2 linked regions of the Mytilus edulis genome follow. The protein of the gene in region 1 purifies or fractionates together with the protein of each later gene. This does not show direct contact. Links are inferred from orthologs where the notes say so. Each region holds a gene or a part of one and is shown on either strand. Other genes may lie near its edges.

Region 1 (8,196 bases):
CTGGGATTTGAAGAATGGATTCAGTCTGGTTCAATTGCATGTCCTAAAACAATAAATGAATTTTTTTTTTGAAAGTGTTTATGCAATTGAATTGGAACAATTATCAAATTTTAATTCAGTTGTATATATTACCATTACAATGAAGCTTTTACTATAAACATAATGTTATATTCAATCATGAAGGTTGTTACTTACTGAAATGTTTAAACCCATAGCATTTGTTTGCACCTGTTAGTAGTCAGAACCTGATGTTCAATGACTGTCGTTTGTTGATATGGTTCATATAAAGTGCTTTTTGTTTCTTGTTTTTATATAGATTAGACTGTTGGTTTTCCCACTTGAACGATTTTACGCTACTCATTTTTGGGCCCTTTATAGCTTGCTTCGACCTATAATCATAATGGTTAACTTTTACAAATTGTGACTTGGATGCCTGGATGGAGAGTTGTCTCATTGGCACTCATACCACATCTTATATCTATGTATCAGGGTTAATTTAAATTACCATAAACCTTCCTAGCAAATTAATAACACCTTCATGTACCACATTAATAATAAGTATGAAGAAGATACATGTATAATGAGTTATTCTTTATTGATAGATTGTTTGCTGATTACTTTATGTAACATAACTGCAAGAAGATTATATCACTATATGGTCACATTTACAATTATTCATTTGACAGAATACTGAATAAGTGCATAAACTTTTCAATATTGGCTTGGTTACATTAAAACATTCTTTTTTCCTGATTGATTCTGAGAGGGGCTTCATCAGTTCCCTTCATCATGTTTATGTCCATACTATAAGAGGTTCAAATTTGCATTAAATAGTGAAAGGTCCAGGACCATTTGAAAGGTCCTCCATAAGAAATTCAGTGTTCCTGTATATCAGAGTAAAGAATTGTAGGTCCTTGACTTGTTATTCAAAAATGAAAAGTCCCCTTCTAGAAAAGACAGGTCTCCAACATTCGACCAACACTAATTTGAACCCCTGATTACATATGTATATATTTAAATCGAAAATTATTGTGTGTATCTATCATCATGATTATAATTGTTATTTTTGAAGAATTGACAAAAATGTTAGATAAGTTATTATGATTTCAAGAAAGCACACTTTCTTTATACTTTCATGGTCCCTTTGAGCCAGATCAAAGTCTCACATGTTCTTATAAACTCCTAAACATTACCCTCAGACTTCTAATTAAAATAATTTGTAATAAAAAAGTTAAAACAAATGTAACCATTTACTTACTGCAATGAAGGCTTTGTTGATGCGCCATAGCTGATCTATATAATATACTGTCTGCTGATTCCAAGGATCTAAAGCTAAATGATTGTGTTGTCCAAGGATCTTAGCATGATGGTAGGAATACTGACCGTCTGTAAGGTCCACCTTCTCTATACCTGGAAGAATTGTTACAAATAATCATTACTCTAATTCTTTTATTTATATCACTCAGAATTTAGTTGAAGAATGCAATAAATCTTATTTTACAGAGAACTGGATGAAACAAAAAAAGACAAGTCTTTTTATTCTTACAGTTAATTTTTACTAGCAGATGCCCACGAAATCATGGTACAAATGAACAAGTGTTAAAAATAGTTTTCACAGCAGTATGTTGACTGAGCATGTGGGAAAAAGTTCAGTCAAGAATCAATAACGGTCTTTGAATTTGGATAAAAATTGGAGTGTTCTGTGGAAAAAAGATTGTGTCAAAGAGCATAATTTGGAAAGTACAAAACAATTCATTTATACGTCTTATCACTTTGTATGGTTTCAGAGAAGTTATGGCTCAATGAAAACAGTCTCTTCCTTTAGTAGTATTTTCAGATTGAACTTGTTTATGTATGCTGACGTCAAGCAACAATTCCATTTTCATTATGATGTCAATCTTTCAGTTTCTTAACCCTCTTGGTGCCGGAGTGACACATGTGTCCACACCAACTGTGCTGGAGGGACACATGTGTCCATGTTTTAATTTATGCAAGCTTCTCATCATTGCTGTACCTCTTTCAAAATAAAAAAACCAAAATTAAAAAGTGTAATATGATTCTACAATGGCTCTAAAATGTAACTGTCATTACAGCATGATGTCATATACAGAATGACGTCATTGTTTGGCATGTCACGTCACAAACGTCGAGCGGTCGTATTTTCCGTCAAATATGAAATGAAACCCTGAAAAACAGCTGGCAACAAGAGGGTTAAAAAATAAATTGTCATGTCAAATTTTACAGGAATGCATGTCGTTTCATACTTGATCAATTTGTAACTAAGTTGATTTGTAAATGAGACAAATTGATTACGGCAATATAAATATTCTCTCAATTTTTCAACAAACTTCAACATATTTTGTTCAAAATACTTAAAATTATATGACTTTTGCATGAAGGAAAAAAAAATGCCCATCAAAAACCAAAAAAGATTTTATCTTTCTTTAACACAAAATGCATTTAACTTTTATATATCTAGTGGGTGCCAGGCATTAAAACTTTTCCAACTTCACAGGTAGGTCTGTACTCAGAGTAATTTTTGGCATGTAAATACAGCCATATTTGTCCGTTTGTTATGATGAACCTTAATTAGAAAAAAATAAAAATCAAGGCGAATGGACCCTGGGCGAACAGGTATAAGGGCGAACAGTAGTCAAAATAATTATGACGTCTGTCAAGGCTAGCGCTGATTTATTTTTTTTCTGGGACTGGGATGTTTCAGGGCGAACGAACCCAGATTCGAACTCACCTACCCCCTTTTCTACTGGGTTGGGATTAGTATAGTAGTATACAAATCCTTGGCGGCTTAAAATGGTATTTCTAATTTTGCTGTGGCGCTTTTCAAAGAGGCTACGTGACGTACGTCGTATATAAGCTTGCTCAGCATGAGCAGGGCTACAAAGTACACTTCACCGATCAAAATGTACTATACAAAAAAATCATCAAGCAATTTACCAATTCCAAATTGAAGGCTGTATGTGGGCAGACTGTCTAACGACAGTTTGTATCCGTCAAATGACGAGTCTAAGAGTTCCCGTTTTATTTGCAAATCAAACTTTTCTGCCATGGCTTATCTGGTATTGAATTTCGCCTTTTTTATACCCATAATAGATAGATAACATTTTTGGGAAACCAGTTTGTACCTAAAACCCATTACATGATCCCGACTACTGCATGTTTTTTTTAATTTCTAACTGTTTTAATTTGCTATGCGTCGGTAAAAAATTGTTATAACAATATCACGAAGAAAATGGTAAAAATGAACATAATATTGCAGTAGTGTCAATATCAAGATGTCGATTTATTTGGAAAGACTAGTATCAAGGAATTGTATATTAAATATACAATTCCTTGCTAGTATTCAGTGCAGCCAGAAACAGGAACTCGTCTTAGAAAAAAATCTTAGTATATACCTTTATATAACACATATAGGAATATTTTTTTCTAACACGAGTGCCTGTGCAGATCTCATCGAAATTTCTATACCGTATTAAACAGTGTGGCATTTTTGCTCTAGCCAAATTTTCAATAAATACTCATTGGATTGCACAACTCCTCCAAAAACGGAAACTCTTTGATAACTCCATCGGATATATCCCTGGAGGTTCTACCTCCTTTTGCGAGTGTTGGTTTTTACTTGCCTTTTTTTATACTCAAGACATATTTAAAATTGATTCAGAGTTTCACTGAATTTTACATCTTTTTCCGTACGCATGTAGGCAAAATTGAGTAAAGTAAAGACCTCCTTTGACAGCCGTAGATCCCACTCTTCTGTCTTCATCTTTTTGCGTAAGCAGTCAACGGAAATATTAGGCACAGTATAAGTTCGAGTTCAGAATGAGTTCTTGTTCATCATTATTGATCCTTCGAAGCACAAGGCCTGATTTATGCTGAAATAATAAACGAAAGACTATTAATATGACAGACAGCAACCAACAACAACTGCAGAGGAACAGACACAAATGTAAAATGTTATAACAATACATTCTATTTAGTTATTTTCTGATAATTAAAAAAAAACGTCAATGTTTCATCGAAAGATTTTACCACAATATTTAAAACGCGGCGAATTCGAAATATCAAAAAGTAAAACATGGATCGTGTCTAATTTTACGGGCTCTACACACTACATATAAACAACATCGTTGTAATAATCAGAATATGTGATATCAAGTGACCTACCGAATTAGACTATTTGCCGGATTTCACGGTTATAACATGAGCAACAAGACGGGTGCCACATGTGGAGCAGGATCTGCTTACCCTCCTGGAGCACATTAGATCATTTCCAGTTTTTGGTTGGATTCGTGTTGCTTATTCTTTAGTTTCATATCTTGTGTCATATGTACTATTGTTTGTCTGTTTGTCTTTTTCTTCATTTTTAGCCATGGCGTTGTCGGTTTATTTCCGATTTATGAGTTTGACTGTCCCTCTTTTTGAATAAAGTTTTAACATGTACAGCAAAAAAGAAGGAAAAAGGAACAACGACAGATATAAAAAGATGTGGTATGGATGCCAATGAGACACTTGTCCATCCAATGATTATGTTTTGTATATACATGTATTTTATACTGAATTACGGAATTACGGAAACAACAAATCTTCTTCATTTATTATATTTTTCAAAAAGGAAAAACACATAAATTTCCAATCGCATACTATATGCTTAATTAAACCTGTATTCTTTGCAACACCAGTCCCATGTTGTAAATCGTGTGTTTTGTTAGGTGATTCTGTTTTTCTGAAAGAACGAATTACGAAAACACAATTATACCAAAAATGTAATGTCTGTTTTTGTTGGAATATCCCTTTAATATCTTTCGTCTCTCTTTTCCAAAAATAGAAAAACATGTATTTTGGCTGTACATAAACCATTATTTTTTTCTCCAGTCAACCACATCTACCTACATTAACATCCCATGTTCACTACAAACTATTCCTTCGCTTTTTATGCCCCACCTACGATAGTAGAGGGGCATTATGTTTTCTGGTCTGTGCGTCCGTTCGTCCGTCCGTCCGTCCGTTCGTCCGTCCGTTCGTTCGTTCGTTCGTTCGTTCGTTCGTTCGTTCGTCCGTCCGTTCGTTCGTTCGTCCGTCTGTCCCGCTTCAGGTTAAAGTTTTTGGTCGAGGTAGTTTTTGATGAAGTTGAAGTCCAATCGACTTCAAACTTGGTACACATGTTCCCTATGATATGATCATTCTAATTTTAATGCCAAATTAGAGATTTTACCCCAATTTCACGGTCCACTGAACATAGAAAATGATAGTGCGAGTGGGGCATTCGTGTACTGAGGACACATTCTTGTTTTATTTATTATTTTTCCGTCCTTTCTATTTCTGTTGTATCGTTTGCTGACCAATATTGTTGTTTTTTCTAAACTGTTCGATATGTATGCATGGTAATAAAACATCAGTCACATTTATGAATTTGTGCCTTTTTTTTTTTTACAAAATTATCATATGATATTGTTTTTCATTTTTTGCAGAGTATTCGATTTCTTCTTTTAAAGGTGAATTGGGGGGGGGGGGGGGGGGATAAAGTTTTAATCATGCTTCTTATCCAAAATGTAATAAAAAGTTTGGTGACCAGACTTTTTTCTCGCTACACTACATGAATTTACACGTGAATTTAATACTACTCTCAAAATTTACACATTTAATGAAATATCTAGACCAATTGTTATCTGTCACTTAAAAATCTAAAAGAAAGGAAGACGTCCTCAATCACCAGCCGACCGTAACGGCAAGGGCTGTACAGCCAGTCAACATCTACCTGTATAAATATTTGTGTGATGAGAAATGTTTTTGAGAAACACTTTTTTAAAGAATAATACTCTGGTACAAGAAACCGAAGGTGTCATAACAGCTGAATATATATGTCATTATACTTCAAAAACATTGACACGTAAGGACGCCACCGGGTGCGGGAGTTTCTGGCTACATTGAAGACCCATTGGTGGCCTTCGGCTGTTGTCTGCTCTATGGCCGGGATGTTGTCGCTTTGACACATTCCCCATTTCCTTTCTCAATTTTATTTGCCCCAACCACTTCTTGCCATGTTTGGCCGAGAAGCAGCACATACCAATTTCAAGTCGTTAGTTTCTGTATACTGTCCCCATATTTGACCAGGCCGAGGTTTGAACCCATATTATCCAGCACTTGAGTCGATCACACAGCGAGCGATATGAAAAAAAACTGTTCTTGCTAGTAACCATATATTAACCACCAAGGCGGTCTGAAAAAATCCTGTTCTTGCTTGTAACCATATATACACCACCGATGCGGTCTGACAAAACCCAATTCTGTTCTTGTTAATAACCAAATATATATATATCTAAAAAAGAGTAGATGTGGTATGATTGCCAATGAGACAACTCTCCACAAGAGACCAAAATGACACAGTAAACTATAGTTCACAGTACGGCCCTCAACAATGAGCAAAGCATATACTGTATAGTCTGCTATAAAAGGCCAAAAAATGCATCCACCAAGGCGGTCTGAAAAACAGAATTTTCTTGCTAGTAACGTTTACCATATAAACAACAAAAAACAATCCTGCTCTTGCTAGTAACCATATTATATAAAAAGTCGATGGGAACATCATCAAATTCTTCAAAGAAGAACCAAGTTATCATCCAGTGTCCAGTTGTTTACAAGTGTTGTTAGGGTAACGCTGTTGTTGACAGAATTGTTACGATGAATTTAACAACTCTCTTGGAGATTATATTAGCCTCCTAAACACAAGTTTTAACATAAACTTTAACAATTGAAAAACTTCAAAGTAAAATATAACGAATTTGAAGAAGGAAAATAATGTATTTTAAACATACAATTAACATATATGGTGATAATTCATATTTAAGATGTACCCTATCAAATGACATGAAATTATAGCAATAAAATACCATAAACAAGATTTGAATTGCAGCAGGCCAAGTTTACGAGCTTATTCCATCTACGCCAGTGACTTACAACCTTACGACTTTTCACAGTGCGCCAGAGGGTTGCATCCTGTTCTGCAAATCACATGTTATATGTCATTTGGTAAGGCACATCATAAATATAATTATCATCGTATATATGCATAATGAACGTCATGTTATGTTTACGAATTATATGTCACACAAAAAGTTATAAATACATAAAAAAAAAGTAAAAAAAAAAAAAACAAGCACAAAAAATCTAACACCCGCATTTTAGTCGTTTATGTGTCTATTCATCCACTTATCCAAGTTTATCTGCTGGACGGATTTGATTGGTGACACAGTTAGTAGTGTTCTTGATGTAAGTGGTAAGTCTGTATTCGACGATAAAACTTCCCCTGGAAGAGTAATTTCTTGCACAATTGAATCTGCTATTGTCATTGAGGTTCGTGTTCCTCTTGCGGCTTTTGGCCTTGCCTTTTTATTTATAGGTAGCACTTCTTCAACTAAAATAGAGGCCGCAGCTCCAATATCATCCTTTGTTTTTTCTAAACTTATTAACTCCAGCTCTTCTTCCTCGTTTTGAAATGCACAGCCTCTACAAATGGATGTGCCTTGTTTTAATTCCATGACTACGTCATTCGGTGAAATATATTCAGTGGAAGGTTCTTCTTTCTTTGATATTACGTAAGTACGGTTACTTACATTGGATGATGATGGCATGGGTGATGGATGAATTGTAATTTTGACCACTCTATTTCCCCTCAATCTTTGCCACTGCGACGAAACGTAATTTCTAAGTCTTGATAAGTTTCTTCTTCTAATGTTCTCTCGACTGCTCCTCTCACATTTTGTACAACATGTACCCATTTTGTGATAATATTAATATTTAGATGATCAAGATATTCAAACAGCTTATTTTGTTTGCAAAACTTTGCAATGCAACGGCTTCCCGAAATGCAACTAAAGACGTTGTCAAGATAAGCATTGTTGCGACACAAGATTGAAAATACACCGATAACGCTTTGACGATGTTTTTTTTATAATTAAACGTCCAGTGGGAAATATTACAACAATGGTGCGTTTGTCTCAATTCGACAAACAGGTCTATGCTATATATGATAGTTGCAAAATATGCATGATCGGAGAATCTGATGATATCTAGCTCTAAACCCTTCTATTTACAACACAAACGAAAAGATGAGGTGTAAAAAATACTGATATAAAATCATAAGGCGCACACGAAAAAAAAACCCCACAAAACTAATAGCCC
Region 2 (7,959 bases), on another chromosome or scaffold:
TTAAATGGGTCATTTTAAATAGCCTTAATAAATAAATCAAATCTTCTCATTTAAAAATTTGAGTACATTATATAAGCCAAGATCAGCACATGATTTATTGCATTTTTTCCAACCTAAAAGCTTAAGAAAACCTTATGCCCTCACTTCCCTACATATGACCTAGAAAAAACTGTTACCAGTAGCTGTTATAATTTATTTTGAATCCAGAAAAAAAACATTAGATCAAAACTGTTTTTTAGCTTAACTAATGCGTATTTTAGGGGTCATTATAAACTTTGCAATATATATTTTGATAAGACAGAAAACACAAAAAGAGGTAATTGTGTATAACTGATTAAGAATTATTGAAATCAATATAAAATCTTCAACATGTTCATTTTTTTTCTCAACAGGACTTGGAAAGTTGTCAAAGACTACTTATAGTTTAAGAAAAATAGACCAAAACACAAAAACTTAACACTGTGCAATGAACTGTGCAATTGAAGTCATGGTCAAATAAAACCTGCGGGACTGACATATAGATCATAATATATTTCCATACACCAAATATAGTTGACCTTTGGCATATAATATTAGATAAAAAGACCAAAACTTAAAAACTTAACTTTGACCACTGAACCATGAAAATGAGGTCAAGGTCAAATGACATCTGCCAGTTGGACATGTACACATACCAGTCCTTCCATACACCAAATATACTAACCCTATTGCTTATAGTATCTGAGATATGGACTTGACCACCCTAACTTAACCTTGTTCACTGATCCATGAAATGAGGTCGAGGTCAAGTGAATACTGTCTGACGGGCATGAGGACCTTGCAAGGTACGCACATACCAAATATAGTTATCCTATTACTTATAATAAGAGAGAATTCAACATTACAAAAATTCTGAACTTTTTTTTCAAGTGGTCACTGAACCATGAAAATGAGGTCAAGGACATTGGACATGTGACTGACGGAAACTTCGTAACATGAGGCATCTATATACAAAGTATGAAGCATCCAAGTCTTTCACCTTCTAAAATGTAAAGCTTTTAAGAAGTTAGCTAACGTCGCCGCCGGATCACTATCCCTATGTCGAGCTTTCTGCAACAAAAGTTGATAGATTATTTAAACAAGAATATTATAAAGAACATTATTTAAGTTTTCATGTGCCAGGAAAATATAAAAGTGCCTTTGCTAAATTTCGATGTGGTGTGGCGCCGATTAGAATTGAAACAGGCAGATATGAAGGGGTTTTAAGTGAAAATAGATTTTGTTTTAATGATTCATGTATGCAACAGAAACTCATTGAAGATGAGAAACATGTTTTACCCAAATGCCCTTTATATTCACAGGCAAGACAAGAGGTTTTTTACTAGAGCAGTTTCTTTTAATATTGATTTTTTAGACTTAAATGATGATGAAAAATTTATATTTTTATTTACAAATGAAAATTTGTGCTTTTATTCTGCCAAAATCTGCCATGATATTTTAATTCAAAGGAAGAATGTTTTATATAGATAAAAAATGTTTTGTATTTTTATCGAGCTGTCCTTTTTTTATGTAAAAGTCTCTCATAACTCTTTTGAGAGTGGCTCTCGAATGTTTTTAAGATTGTTTTGTACTTTTAATTAAAACATGTTGTATATATTGTATTCATGTTTGTAATGTATCATCTCGTATTGTGTTTTCGACCGTCTGACGTTTTCGACCTAATTCTACTTTCACTTTTCGTATGCTGCGCATGCCTGCATGAGGTCATATTCGGCTGCTATACTTAGTAACAATAGCAAATGATACCATGTGGGGTGAAGATTTTTCAAATAAAGTTATTATATTAAGTATTTACGTTTTTTTAGAGGTCTTTTTGCATGCAAAGTTAACTTCAAGGTCATTAAGTCACATGACTGTCAGGTGGTTAGTTTTTATACTTAAAGTTAATTTGAATACAGAAATACGCATGCTCCTTACAGCTTTTTACCAAAAAATAAAATATCAGTTCAATTTTATTTACAGAAAAAACAGTGTCAGTGGAAATGGAAATTACAGACAATACTCACCAACCTCACTTCACAATGGATAAACCAAAGTATTTAAAAAAAACAAGAATGTATACAAGACCATACAAGGCTTCCAAAGTGCCTCATTCTAAAATGTGTACAACTTGTCCAAAAAAGACATCAAAATAATATTTTATATCTTATACATTTTGTACATGTAGTTGTATATTTAACCATTTAATTCTTTAAGTCATAAGTTAGATCGCCTCTAACACTTTGATATAAACTTTGGTATCAAATTTATAACCAATTCCGGATATGTACGAGATGTCGTTTCTGACTTTAGACTCGTTTTTTTATAGATAGGTCAAAAACACAAGACCCTTGTTTTTGTCAACAAAGGTGCCATCGATCTAATGAACTCAAATGAAATTAATTAAAGATCGAAATATATTTCCGATACAATTATTTTATGCACAAGTATACTAGCGACTCTCAAAATATTAGGTATGTCTATGGTCAAACATATAACAGGGAATTCAGAAAAATGTTAGAAGGTCGAAAATACAATACACGAGGATACATGTAGAGAGGTGAGACTATAATAAAATATTTGATTTGATTTTTACAATCATTTCATATAAAATTGTCATTTCATATGTTAATTTCATTATGCATTTATATATGTGACACCTTTAATTAAAGATTAATCACCTATATGTATTTGTTTATTTAAAAAAACACAACACTGGTACAATACTGGAAAACAATACTGGTACAAAGTTTTTATACCAGTATTGTGCACAATACTAGTATACCAGTATTGAGATCACCAACTACAGGAGATCCTAAAAGACTTCAGGGACAGTCCCTCCCTCTGACAAGTACTGAAAAGATTTATGAAGAAAAGGGGGGATAAATTATGTCCGATTCGGCATGCGTTGTGCGCTACTGTGGAAATGTTCAATTAATAGTGTTATAGGTATTCTACAGTTAGAGAAATGAAACAAGACAAATGTGTGTCTTAATAAATTGAATGAGGCAAAGGCTGCCATGACTTTACAGCTGTCATACCTTGTGCGTTTTGGCAAAGAGTCGCCAACGTCGATTCTGTGTCTTTTCGACATTTTGTTGTTACCCTGTATATTGCAGTATGGCAAATGACGTCATTCGGACATTTGATTTTACAACAAAACTCAACGAAAACCCAAGAGAGATAAGAATGACTTTATAGTCACGCTTGAATAAATAAAAGTTCTGTCAGACTTAAGGTAAAGGAAGCACATGTTTTTTGTACTTCCGGTAAAATCAAAACAAGCAAGACGATGTCAGAACCAGATGAGGACAAAACCTTGAATTTCCATGAGATGGGGTTGGATGACAGAATTTTAAAGGTGCACATGATAATAAGCAATAAGGTTATATGTGATATGAAATATTAGATCGCACCTCTATGATTAATTAAAAATTTTATCAAACTTATAATATGTCACTTCAAATTTGTTATAATCACATTCACAGAAGGGTACAGAATGTATATGGGGTAATACAAAATGGTGACCATTGCATTCCCATATTCACAAACCTTATAGAACACTTCACATCAAATAAATCGCTCTTATTTTGGTCATTCTATATGACTGGACATCTCTGTCTTTATTTTAATATTTTGCTTAAAATACTGTGATCTGTTTGAAAATTATGCATTTTTGTAGTGCAACTGACAGGTTCTTGGTGTTTTCTATCTATGCTGTGTGCTACATGTTCATTGAGATACAACAGATTATTTTAACATCACTTGACTAGCTACAGACTCGAAGCTTGACAATGCATCTCTGTGATGTTTGCAATGTTGATGATTTTCATTTATCCAAGAAAATAATTTTTGTCATTTATCACAATGTTTATTTTTAGTTTGAACCCATACCAAAATTAAGCTTATATAAAGACCAATTTATTAGTTTATAATCATGATTATTACTGGAGCTGGTATGTTTGTGAAAAACATTAGTACAATGTATCCTTATTTATAGATAATTTTTCCTCTTTCTATTTTGAAATTATGTACTGTTTGATCTTGGTTTGGCACAAAATTATAAGTGTCTTCAATTCCTGTGCTTATTATGGATTTGTTGTATGAAATCTTTTATGAAGAGTGCACTGTGTAACAGCAGATAGAGTTTGGAGGGATATCCCATTGTTTACCAATAGGTTAGTATTGAATTAATTTATATTTTACGCTTACAGGCAATTGCAAATTTAGGCTGGGCAACACCAACACCAATTCAGGAAAAAGCAATCCCTCTGGCTTTAGAAGGAAAAGACATTTTGGCAAGGGCTAGGACTGGATCTGGTAAAACAGCAGCATTCTCCATTCCTGTGGTTCAAAAAATATTACAGTCTAAACAGGTAATAATAATACTACTAGGGATTATTATTATTTGTTTGATACCAGTTTTCGTGGGTACAGGTTAACCACAAATTAAAATTTTCAACAAGCTTTTTATTTGGTGGTATACAGACTTTGGCAAAACCACGAAATCACATATTTACGAAAAGGCAAGTTTTTCGGCAATCCACGAAAATTGGTACCCACAAAAGTAAATGAATCCACAGTACTTTGAAATCTATGTTTAATCTAACATGTCACATGTTCAAATACAAAGCAAATAAAGCATAACAACTGACTCGAGTTAAATATTTTTGATATACAATGTGATGAAATAAGATATACTCTGATGTTAGTGTGAGTAAAACAATGCATACTAGTACACTGAATATTTTCCATTTTTCTTTGAAATGGAAAATTGTTTTACTCTGAATATGTAGTATGGAACATAATCATTTTGCATTCTCTTGAACTGAGAAATAGATAAAATACTGTATGTAATGTATTTAGAAATATTAATTATTTTCAGTAAAGGTCAATTAATCATCATGTTTTCGTCATTGATAAATTAAACTATATATAACCATATCTGAAGTTTCATAAGGACATCAAACAAATTTCCAAAATGCATTGTGTTGCAAGTATTTTTTTACAGATATGAATACTGTATGTACTACAAATAGTTTTGCAGAAAGTACATTTTCTCAATTTCTCTCTAGACCAGTAAAGAACAGTGTACAAAAGCTCTTTTCCTGACCCCTTCTAAGGAACTATGTCACCAAGCATATAAAAATCTTATGGTACGTATATATTGTATTTAAAGAGTTACTTGTAACATTAGTGTACATACTTATGGTTAGTATATATTGTTTTATACAGTTACATGTAAAATTAGTGTACATGTACATATATAAAAATCTTATGGTTAGTGTACAATTTAACTAATGTGACATTTACATTTATCTCTATAAATACAATGTATACTATACATTGTATTTATAGAGATAAATGTAAATGTCACATTAGTTAAATGTAACATTAGTGTATATGCACATGTGACATTAGTGTACATGTACATGTATCTTGATGATCTCTCTTTAAACCTACTCATAGATAGCACAAAAAATTAACATAAGGTAGATGGTGGGACAAAATTAATCATGTAACAAAAGTCTTTAGAAAAAGAGAGAGGTACATGTATTAAATTACATTTCTACAGTTTTGGTTTCTTGGACATTCTTGATACACCAACATTACAGAGCTTTCTCGCTAATAATCAGAAAATAAGTTGCATGTTATGCATAAGAATATAGTATTGAGGTCATGTATTTATGAAAACATGTATTATGAACTAGTATACATATTTGTTTAGGGGCCAGCTTAAGGACTCCTCTGGAGCAGGAGTTTCTCGCTGTATTGATGACCAATTGGTGGCCTTCGGCTGTTGTCTACTCTATGGTTGGGTTGTTTTCTCTTTGACACATTCCCCATTTCCTTTCTTAATTTTATTATGTCAATTTTGCATTCATATTAGTTTTATTTAAAGTTGGTACATATGAATTTATAGTATTTGGATATAGAAATATTTCATTAGTACATGTATTTGATTTCTACTCTCTGTTTCAGGAATTGACATCATGTTGTTCCAGAGAAATAAAATGTGTTGATGTTTCGCCAAAAGTTCCACTGCTTACACAAAGGTAACATCACAAATGATAGTGATCTTATTGAGTAACAAAAAAAACCATCAGAAAGACAGAAACTAAGTGTACTTTAACCTATAATAGTTTACTATTATAAATTGTTACTTGGATGGAGAGTTGTCTCATTGGCACTCATACCACATGTTCATATATCTATCAAACAGCAACATATATGTAAAGGAAAGGTACACATTAATGAAAACAAGTTGTATATGTTCATTGAACACCATGCCTGGCTGACAAATAAAAATGTTTTATCATGGTTAGAACATCTACAATGTACAAGGTGTTGAATAAGTTACTTCTTTCTCTCTTGTAAAAATAAGAAGATACGAAGATGGCAATCAAAAATCATAAATTGAAAAAGACAAACAACACCACATCCAAAAGTAAAAAGATGTAAAGTCAAACATTAGTCTACAAAATGCTGCACAGGAAACTAAGATTACACTACACAAACCCTACAAAATAGAACAGAGAGTACTCTAGGACTCTGCAAGGTTAAGCAGTTCCCTTACTAGAAAGAGTCATGGTTGGTAGAAACACCAAATGCTGCCAAAAGATTACATGTATTAGCATACATAATGGCAACATTGAACTATTTTATCTGTTGTTTTGCCCACTCTGTTAAGTAATATTGCACAACATATAAACTTATATGCATTTAGAATAATGTAAGATTTATCTATATTTTGACAGACCCAAATTGATGGAGAAACCCGATATAGTTGTTGGTACACCTACACGTATCCTGGCACACATACAGGCTGGTAATCTCAGTATCAAAGACACCTTGGAGATGCTTGTGATAGATGAAGCCGATCTGGTTTTCTCTTTTGGCTATGAGGATGATGTTAAAGCTATCATAAAGTAAATTTTTAGTTATTTGTCTCAAACCCTCATATGCTCTTTGAGGACTTTAATATGTTAGGCCCTTGCATGAGTTATAGCTTACACCAAATATTTGTTTCAGATTTTATTTGTTAAGACAAACTGATGTTTGCCCCTCTCTCTCATAGTTATAAACAACAAGTTACGTAAGGTTTCCTCTATTTTCTTCATCGTCTTTGAATGATATAACATTCTGTTGAGCAGTAATTTTAAGCTTTCTTGTACATTTTGTTTAATGATCTTTAATGATATAGAAAAAAGAGATGTAAAAACTGCAAAATCAAACTCTGATGTATTTCATCACAAGTATCACTATATCAGAGAATAATAAAGGTCTGTTATGGCAACTTCAAATATTATAAGACAAATATTTTCAATAAACTGTGATCGAAATAGCATAACAACATGGGAATAATAATGTTGTTTATGTTTTTGACTGAATAGAACATCATTTTAGAGGAAACTTATACCATTGTAGAAGTCTTAGTAATATAGTCACGATTTTAAATAAAGAAATTGTATTTGTATTTCAGACAACTGCCAAAGATATATCAAGCTTTCCTTATGTCAGCTACGCTCAGTGATGATGTATTAAGTTTGAAGAAATTAGTTCTTCATAATGCAGTAAGTTGTATAATGTAGATATGTAATTTATATTTTTTATGTCAACTTGCTTCTTGCTTCTAACTCTTTGTTTTCTAAGGCATTGGAATATCATTGCTTTCGATTAAATTGTACTCTTTAGTAAAAAAAAAAATTCTCAAATTGTAAGCAAAATTTGTTTTCATATGTAGAATTGCTGTACTTTTTAGTCAAAAAAGGGTTCTCAAATTTATGCAAAACTTGGTTTTATATGTGAATTTGTCCCATAAAAAACAATTTCAATATTTCATGTGCAACTGTTTTCTAACCTTTCTAATATCTTTTCAAGTTCAAGTATAATTATGCTGGCTCTTTGATTGCTATAAAAATGATCTTAAAAACTATAAAA

Evidence for each region. Proteins that work in one complex are often made in the same cells at the same time.
Region 2: the proteins of nudC domain-containing protein 1-like (region 1) and putative pre-mRNA-splicing factor ATP-dependent RNA helicase PRP1 purify together in Homo sapiens (co-immunoprecipitation; 3 studies listed by BioGRID and IntAct, with this or other methods). This does not show direct contact. The link is inferred for Mytilus edulis from reciprocal best matches to the Homo sapiens genes NUDCD1 and DHX15.

Annotation. Positions count from the first base shown.
Region 1 is NC_092348.1:48,748,302-48,756,497, reverse strand, and holds the start of nudC domain-containing protein 1-like, read right to left. Parts: upstream 3,146-8,196; 5' UTR 3,068-3,145; coding exon 2,956-3,067; intron 1,411-2,955; coding exon 1,259-1,410; intron 44-1,258; coding exon 1-43.
Region 2 is NC_092347.1:43,276,959-43,284,917, reverse strand, and holds the start of putative pre-mRNA-splicing factor ATP-dependent RNA helicase PRP1, read right to left. Parts: upstream 3,199-7,959; 5' UTR 3,113-3,198; coding exon 3,060-3,112; intron 1-3,059. Other genes in the region: probable ATP-dependent RNA helicase DDX56, read left to right, coding at 3,311-3,379, 4,233-4,394, 5,094-5,174, 6,001-6,074, 6,777-6,947, 7,502-7,592.